Sus scrofa: one gene and its partner. The protein of the gene in region 2 interacts with the protein of the main gene of each other region in a biochemical or structural test. Links are inferred from orthologs where the notes say so. Each region holds a gene or a part of one and is shown on either strand. Other genes may lie near its edges.

Region 1 (4,590 bases), on a different chromosome or scaffold from region 2:
TGCGTCCTGGGGACGAGACACCACAGTGAGGGGTGGGGAGCAGCATGAACGCCTGCATAAGAGTCAGCGCTGGATAAGAGGACGCTGCCTCCTACCTCACGGCCTGGGCCAGGATCAGTGACCCAAGTAGCATCCAAGCAACCTTGAGGGCACGGGCAGACACTCCTGAGCTCCCACCCATGCCCAGACTGGGCACACAGACAGGAGTGGGAGCCAGCTCTTTCCCATCCCATCTGCACTAATCACCGCAATTCTCGGACATCATGCTGTTACCTCCCCAAAGGCAGTGACAACGCCACTTCTGCGATTTAGTGACCGCCCTCGTTGTGTCAGGCATGGCGCCAGACTGCTCAAGACTTATTCATTCTTCATATTGCAAGGCACCTACTATGTGCCAGGCACTGCCCTCGATGATGGGGCTCTAGCAGGAGTCACACGAGTCCCTGACATCAGGAAGTTTATACTCTCTTATCCCAATTCTCCCAAAACCCAGAGAGACAGGCACCAATCCTGTCACATGGTCAAGAAAATCAGGGCTCAGATGTGATACGAGCAACCCCAAGGCAAGTGTGCAAGGGAGCAACATGTGGAACCCAGATCTGTGTGACGTCAACAAGCAGGCTCTCCTCTGCTCCCTCCCTAGCTCGAAACAGAACACAAGGCTCCAGCCCTCCCACCCCGACGCCCAGTCCATCAGGCGGGGAAGATACCGACTCTCTTCCAGGGACTCACCCACTCATCCTGCAAGGCTTTCAGAATGGCTGGGATGCTGGTGGCTGAGGGAGGCTTGGGCCGGATTGGGTGAGCAACTGTCAAGAGAGGGCAAGTGGGTGTGAAAACCCGTGGCCGGCCAGCCTGCCCCTCCCCCATGCTTCCCCTTCAGCCTGCGTTCACAGACCACCACCTCCTCCCCCGCCCCAGGCTCTGAGCTAAGATGGCCCTGGACTGTGGCCAGTCAGCAGGCACCTTTGATGTCAATGAGCTGCTCCTCGGACAGAGGCTGGTTGTTGATGGGATCTGTGCCATTCTCTGCAATATACTTCTCAATGAGCCGGCGCTCGTAGACATGATTAGAGACAGGGGACACGCATGGGTGCTCTGGCACTTCATTGGAGACTGTGGAGAAAAGGCAGGCAGTGAGCCTGGGCTGTGGGAAGGGACCTTGGGCCAAAGGGATGCTTCACCTACTACCAGCCTCCAGAGGCCTACACTCAACCGATGAGAATCAACCAGAACACCAAGAGCCAGTTCTGGTCTGTACCCAGAACGCTTTCCAGCCTTCTAACTAGCTGCTCCATCAGCCTCCTGACAGTCAAATAATCAACAAATAGTTACTACACAACGACTAAATGCTAGGTACCTAGAGAGCAGTCAATAATCTCTGCCCGTCTCATTTCTGAACAAAGATGCTTAGGTACCCATTACACTGCAGAACAGGGAGACACACACAAACCTCACTTAAACCTCAGGCTAAAGCCTAGATGGATTCTCAAAGAGATGTGACAAGTGCTATAATAAGAGAAAGCATTTACGTGGTGTTTACTAGGTGCCAAGCACAGCCTGTAAACACTTCCCATTGCTTAAATCATCCCCACAACAACCCCCAACTGAGGTATCATTTACACCCTTGAGGATAGAGATTATAGCTGGCTTCCGACTTCCAGGACAAGGCAGATGCCCAGCAGGCGCTCAGTAAACATCTAAGAGATGAGCCAAAGAGAGGAAGGATGGAGCTTCCTTAAGGGCTTCCTTAAGATTGAAACAATGAATGTGAAAATACTTGGCACACTATAATTTCTTTAAGGTGTACCTTTCCTTTATCTAGTCACATTTCCCTTCCCCCTTTCTTTCCTTTTTTTTTCTTTTGGATTTATGGAAAGGTTCTGAGAGGAGTAAAGGGCCTGAGAGTTAGGAAGCAAAGAAAGAAAAGGATGAGAGACTAATAACCCAATAACAATGAGTACAAAATATCACAATAAAATACCGAAAGGAAAGACAGGTCAAGGCATTTGAAAAAAGCACAGATTCATGGTCAGGGAGAACCTGACTCCATCACCCAGCTCTACCACTTACTAGCTGTACTGTTTTACAAAAGCCACATTCTGCTTCAGCCTTACATCCTTATCTGTAAAACAGGATCTTTATTTCTGCTCTGGAGAAATGAGAACATAACAAGATCACAGTCTTGCAAACGAGCTGTAAATCAACAGAGGCTTTATAAAAGTGCGCTGTTTTCAGCAGTCCGTAAAGGGTGAGGCTGGAAGCCAGGTCCCTGGCTCCCAGCCCTGTCACAGCCTGTAACTCACTGTCCGACCTTTGCAAATTGCAGAAGCTCTGCCTACCCGAGCAGGGCCTCAGACAACATCCAGTGCCAAGGCCCTCATTTTGCAGATGGGGAAACTGAGGCCCGCATCCTTGCGCCACATCACAAAGCCAATCTGAGGCGGATCCTGCACGAGCCCTCGCATTTCCTAATTTCTACAGCAGAGCTGTTTCCCCTGCACCAGCTCCCTCTATCCAGGCCTCTGTTCAACTGCGCAAACAAGGTGGGTGGCCTCGGCGCTGCCTGCGACAATACACTTGAGGCGTTATGTAAACTGTGAAGCGTTGCGCAAATGCACCCCACGCTTGAGGAGGAGGACCCCCGGGGCTGACAGGCCGCCGCCCTGCCCCCCCGGGAGCCGCGTTTTCACCTCCACCCCCGCCCCGGCGCCGCAGAGGCCCGCAGATCCTCCCACTCGGCTCTGTGGCCTCCTGCGCCCAGCGATCGGCCACAGGCGATACTCACTAGAGCAGATCAGGGACATGTTGCCGTAGCTGCGCTCCGAGGCTCCTCACACCTGGCTTCGGATCAGCTTCTGAGCCCGCGGGGCCCACTTCCGGTTCCCCGCTGCTTCCGGGACGCTCCGCGCAAGCGGGGAGCGACCCCGCTGGACGATGCTCCCGCAACGTTTCACGTGGGACAGCGGCTGGTCGCGCGCCTCAGCCTCCAGCTTTTAACGGAAACTGTCCTTTCCCAGAATGCAACCGGGCAGGAAAGGGCGCGCCAGGAAGTACTCGGCTATTTCCGGGCCCGCTCGGCTCCTTTCGTAAAGCTCTCTTGGGGTTGGGGGAAAGGAGAGCCGAAACTACATTTCCCGTGATGCAGTGGGAGTTTTAATCCAATCAACTCAGTAATTTTTTAAACCAATCAACTCAGAAACTTTAAACCAATCGACTCTTTTGAGACCGGAGCGGGAAGGGGGGGCCTTGGGATCGTAGTCTTGCAAACGCTGTTGCGAGCGAGAATTACCCCGCTTCTCAAAACGCATCTTCCTGGGGTCCGCTGAAGAGAGCGTTTTCCATGGCTGCTCCCACGTGATTCTTGACAAGTGTTTCTCGGAGTACCCTTTGAAAGGTCCAAGGAAGAAGGCGCGGATGCTGATAGGTGAAAAAACTTTTCTGATGGCTGGGTTCTCCGCTAGACTGTAAATTCCATGATGGCAGGAACCACAGTTGTTCTGGTTATTGTTGTTTCTAAGAGGCTGACACAGTACCTGAAATATAGCAGGACTGTCACAACTATTGTTGGTTGAATGCCAGGCATTTTAAGTACTCAGATGTGGTAGGAAATAAAATGGATCCATTTATACATGCACCCCAATGTTCACTGCAGCACTATTCACAATAGCCAAGACTTGGAAACAACCTAAGTGTCTATCAACAGATAAGTGGATTAAGAAGATGTGGTACATATATACAGTGGAATACTACTCAGCCATAATGAAGAACAAAATAATGCCACTTGCTGCAACAGAGATGTAACTAGAGATGATCATACTAAGAAAGAGAAAGACAAATACCACGTAATAACACATGTGGAACCTAAAATATGGCACAAGTGAACCTATATACAAAACAGACCCACGGACAAGAACAGACTGGTAGTTGCCGAGGGAGAAGGATGGACTGGGAGCTTGGATGTAGTAGATGCAAACTACTATATTTAGAATAGTTGGACTGGAGTTCCTGTTGTGGCTCAATGGGTTAAGAACCCAACATGGTGTCCATGAGGATATGGGTCCATGGCCTCCCTCGGTGGGTTAAGGATCCAGTGCAAGCTTCAGTGTAGGTCAAAGGTGTGGCTCAGATCCTGTGTTGCTGTGGTGCAGGCTGGCAGCTGCAGCTCCAATTCAACTCCTAGCCCAGGAACTTCCATATGCCAAAGGTATGGCCATAACAAGAAAAAAAATCAGAGCTAGAATAGATTGACAAGGTCCTACTGCATAGCACAGGGAACTATATCCAATCTCCTGGGATAAACCATAACGGAATTTTTTGAGAAAAAAGTACATATATATATAACTAAATCACTTTGCACATAATAAATCAACTGTACTTTAATATTAAAATATAAAATAAAATGGATCTGTTTAGGAAGGGCGTTATACTAGAAGTGGTTAGCTTTGATTGGGTAAACAGCAGAACAGCTGATCAGCTATGGAGTGATAGCCACATTTCCAGAAGATTCCTCTGGAAGATATTTACTGTGTGGGTTAGAGAGGTGACAGACTGGAAGGAGAGAGACCCAATAATTCATTCACTGAACAA
Region 2 (3,808 bases):
ATCTGACTTTTGTTGGTAACACGAGCACAAATGGTCCACCTGAAAACCAAGTAGACAATATTAGTGTTCGGAGTCTCACTTGCGAAAGATCTGAAAGGTTCCCCACCATCTTCCGGTAGCCCTTCTTCCTTTATGCATATTCCACTCTCCAGTGGAAGCTGTATTTTAACGCAGCTAATTAAAACCCCACGATGACATCCAGGTTTGACAGTTTATAGAATAAGCAAAGAGTAAAACATGCAAGGTGATTTAACACTGACTCATTCTCCTGTCAAATAAGTAAATTTATAAACGCTCTCCCTTCTCCAAAAAGCATCACCAAGGCAACAATATCCCCTTGATAAAAGGTTCTAAGCGAGAAAAGGCAGTCATACCAGCAATTATATTTTGCCACCGCTTTCGATTATGGGAACTGATACACCTGATGTCGGGCTTCTGCCTCGTTTCCGACACACTGAGTAAATACAAGGGTGTGGAACACGGTGTTGGTTCAGCCACCAGCAGAAAACACCCGCAAGCAACAGGGCCTCAGACAGAGGCCCCTAAAAAAGGAGGCACGAGCTCTGACACCCGGACCCGGCGTCCATCCTGAGCAGAGGCACTGAGGACACGAGGCACCTCACTCATTATCTCACAGGGGAGCAGGTTACCCCGATCTTACCAAGCATTGAAGAATAAATAAAAACATAGCTGAAAGAATTCTGAAAAGAGTACTCCCTAAATTTAAAGTGCAAAAATTAATGTTTAATGGTAAGAAGTCATATAAAAGAAATATTGATACAAATAGTACAGATTCTTTTAGCCACCTACACCCCAGTAATACTTTTAAGACTACAAGTCACCTGTTTATACGATGAGAAAATAAAATACCTTCAGATTTAGAATATTTATTTTTACTCATGAGACTATCAACTGATTCTTCAAGCATTAAATCTTTTAAATTTCAAATTCTTTTTTATTTTTTTTATTTTATTTATTTTTGTCTTTTTGCCATTTCTCGGGCCACTCTCGAGGCATATGGAGGTTCCCAGGACAGGGGTCAAATTGCAGCTGTAGCCACCGGCCTACGCCAGAGCCACAGCAACGCGGGATCCGAGCCGCATCTACAACTTACACCACAGCTCACGGCAACGCCGGATGGTCAACCCACAGAGCAAGGGCAGGGACAGAACCCGCAACCTCATGGTGCCTAGTCAGATTCGTTAACCACTGCGCCACGATGGGAACTCCTCAAATTCTTTTTTAAAATGAATGAAACTCCATGGGCTATGGCAGATTGCTCTTTTTTTGGGGGGGGGTTGTCTTTTTCGGGCTGCACCCACAGCACATGGAAGTTCCCAGGCTAGGGGTCCAATTGCAGCTGCTGCTACCGGCCTACGCCACAGCCACAGCAACTTGGGATCCGAGCTGAGTCTGCGACCTACACCACAGCTCACAGCAACACCAGATCCTTAACCCACTGAGCAAAGCCAGGGATTGAACCTGTTTCCTCATGGATACTAGTTGGGTTCATTACCACTGAGCCATGACGGGAACTCCCCAGACTGCTCTTTCTGCTGTTCTTTATTATAAGAGAAATCATGGTTGCCACAATTTGTAATTTCTTCCCATTTGGAAAAAAAAGAGGAAACCTATTCTATGTGTGGCAACCCTGAAGTTCACACAAAAGTAATTCAAGAGCCCATAATAACTTACTATATACTCTTTTGTAAGTACCTTCTAAACTTATTCCATGAAATAACTCACTTGGACTGGTAAGGGGTGAGGCTGGCAATGGGGACCACTTTGGCCTGTGTTCCCCCAGAGCTGTTCACTACACTGGTAGCTCCAGCTTTTCCAAATATCTTTGAGGCACCATAAGCCTTAGATACAGTGGAACCTTTAAAAACAAACACAAAGAGGAACAATCATTATTCTATTGAAATTTTATAGTAAGTTTCCTAATAACTCTCAATTACTGAGGTGTCACTGGTGACATCATACAAAATGAGAGGCAGTTTTTCCTTTTATTTTATTACAGTTTTTTTTGGCCACACCCAAGGCATGCAAAAGTTCCTGGGCCAGGGATCGAACCCACACCACAGCAAAGACAACACAGGAACCTTAACCTGCTGAGCTACCAGGAAACTCCAAGCCTTTTCCTTTTAAATAATCAAGAGAGAGTGTCCGTTCTGGCTCAGCGGAAATGACTCTGGCTAGTATCCACGAGGACGCAGATTCGATTCCTGGCCTCCCTTAGTGGGTTAAGGATCAGGCATTGCCGTGAGCTGTGGTGTAGTCACAGACGTGGCTTGGATCCTGCGTGGCTGTGGCTCTGGTGTAGGCTGGCAACTGTAGCTCCAATTCGACCCCTAGCCTGGGAACCTCCATATGTCATGGGCGTGGCCCTAAAAAGACTATACATATATATATATATATATATATATTTTTTTTTTAAATAAGTAAATACATAATCAAGGGATCTGGAGATCAAACAGACTGAAACAGGAGGCTGGAGACAGATCCAGAATGAAGGCTGGGCACACAGATGTTCGCGACTCTACTGCTGACTGAGGCCCTAAGGTCACGATAACAACAGTAAGGAATCCAGACACTGCTGTTTTGGGAGCTCAACCCTCTTCCAGCTGCCCCTGTGGCAACAGGCAAGGTGATGGGTTCAGAGAAAAAAATCGACCCTCCTGACTGGTAAATCTGACAAGTCACTAGTTGCCTAAGAGAAAAAGCTAAAGGAAAGCCTAGGAATTAACGGACACAGTGGATGAGCCGCCTGAGGTGAAGGACATCCATCACAAATATGTCGCCTCCCAACATCCCTAGAAAATTCCCAGTTCTCAACTGGTCTGACAAGAACAGAAGGTCTAGAATGCAGTCTATGGGATGGGTTTAGTTGGGAGCAAAGAGCAAGAATCAGTTTTCCGTTCATGACAAGTAGGTGGCTGGCTGCCGTGGCCCCTTCTTGCCTCCTTTATCTAAGCCTAAGCAGCTGCCTGGCACTCGGGAAGAACAGGTAATCACGTAAAGCCTGGGAGCAGACGACGTCCCCTACGTGCATGCTGTTTCCGAGGCTTCCACCTCCAAATTCGGAAAAGATGATTTAGTCCAATGATTTTTCATATCTTCTATAACAAAACATTTCTTCAGAACGGCATCTGGCTAGAAATGTAAATCTACTATTATTCAGCATTTATTTATTGCGTTTTCGCAGCACGTACCACACTCTTCTAGGTATTTGTAGCACTTAGTAAAAAATATACACAGACTGCCCCAGATCTTAAAATTTTCTCTTCAAACTGGGGCATCAAGCAATGTCTACACTCACAACAGTAACAACTACCTCAAGATGACGCAAGGAAGCACACATACTCTCTTGAACACCTATGTATGTGCGTATCTATATCTAGTACACAATATACAATTATGTAACACACACACACACACACACACATCCAGTTTTCATGCTGGCAGCTTCTCCTCAACTTACTTCCAGTTCCTTTTCTTTCTTCTTTTTTCAGGCTGCATCTGTGGCATATGGAAGTTCCCAGACTAGGGTTTGAACTGGAGCTGCTGCTGCCAGCCTACACCACAGCCACAGTTATATGGGATCCGAGCTGCGTCTGCCACCTACACCACAGCTTGTGGCAACACCAGATCCCTAACCCACTGAGCGAGGCCAGGGATTGAACCCTCAACCTCATGGATACTAGCTGGGTTCTTAACCCGCTGAGCCACAACAGGAACTCCTTCTGGTCCTTTTTCTTTCACCACCCAGTTATGTGTTTAGGGAACACTAATTTTTAAAATAAATCTC

The links.
Region 1: the proteins of RPA1 (region 2) and PRPF19 form a complex in vitro, tested with the Homo sapiens proteins (2 studies listed by BioGRID, with this or other methods). The link is inferred for Sus scrofa from reciprocal best matches to the Homo sapiens genes RPA1 and PRPF19.

The regions. Positions count from the first base shown.
Region 1 is NC_010444.4:10,850,012-10,854,601, reverse strand, and holds the start of PRPF19 (pre-mRNA-processing factor 19), read right to left. Parts: upstream 2,824-4,590; 5' UTR 2,808-2,823; coding exon 2,789-2,807; intron 1,117-2,788; coding exon 967-1,116; intron 810-966; coding exon 733-809; intron 7-732; coding exon 1-6. UniProt on the Homo sapiens protein: Ubiquitin-protein ligase which is a core component of several complexes mainly involved pre-mRNA splicing and DNA repair. Required for pre-mRNA splicing as component of the spliceosome.
Region 2 is NC_010454.4:48,029,871-48,033,678, reverse strand, and holds part of RPA1 (replication protein A 70 kDa DNA-binding subunit), read right to left. Parts: intron 1,880-3,808; coding exon 1,747-1,879; intron 40-1,746; coding exon 1-39. UniProt on the Homo sapiens protein: As part of the heterotrimeric replication protein A complex (RPA/RP-A), binds and stabilizes single-stranded DNA intermediates that form during DNA replication or upon DNA stress.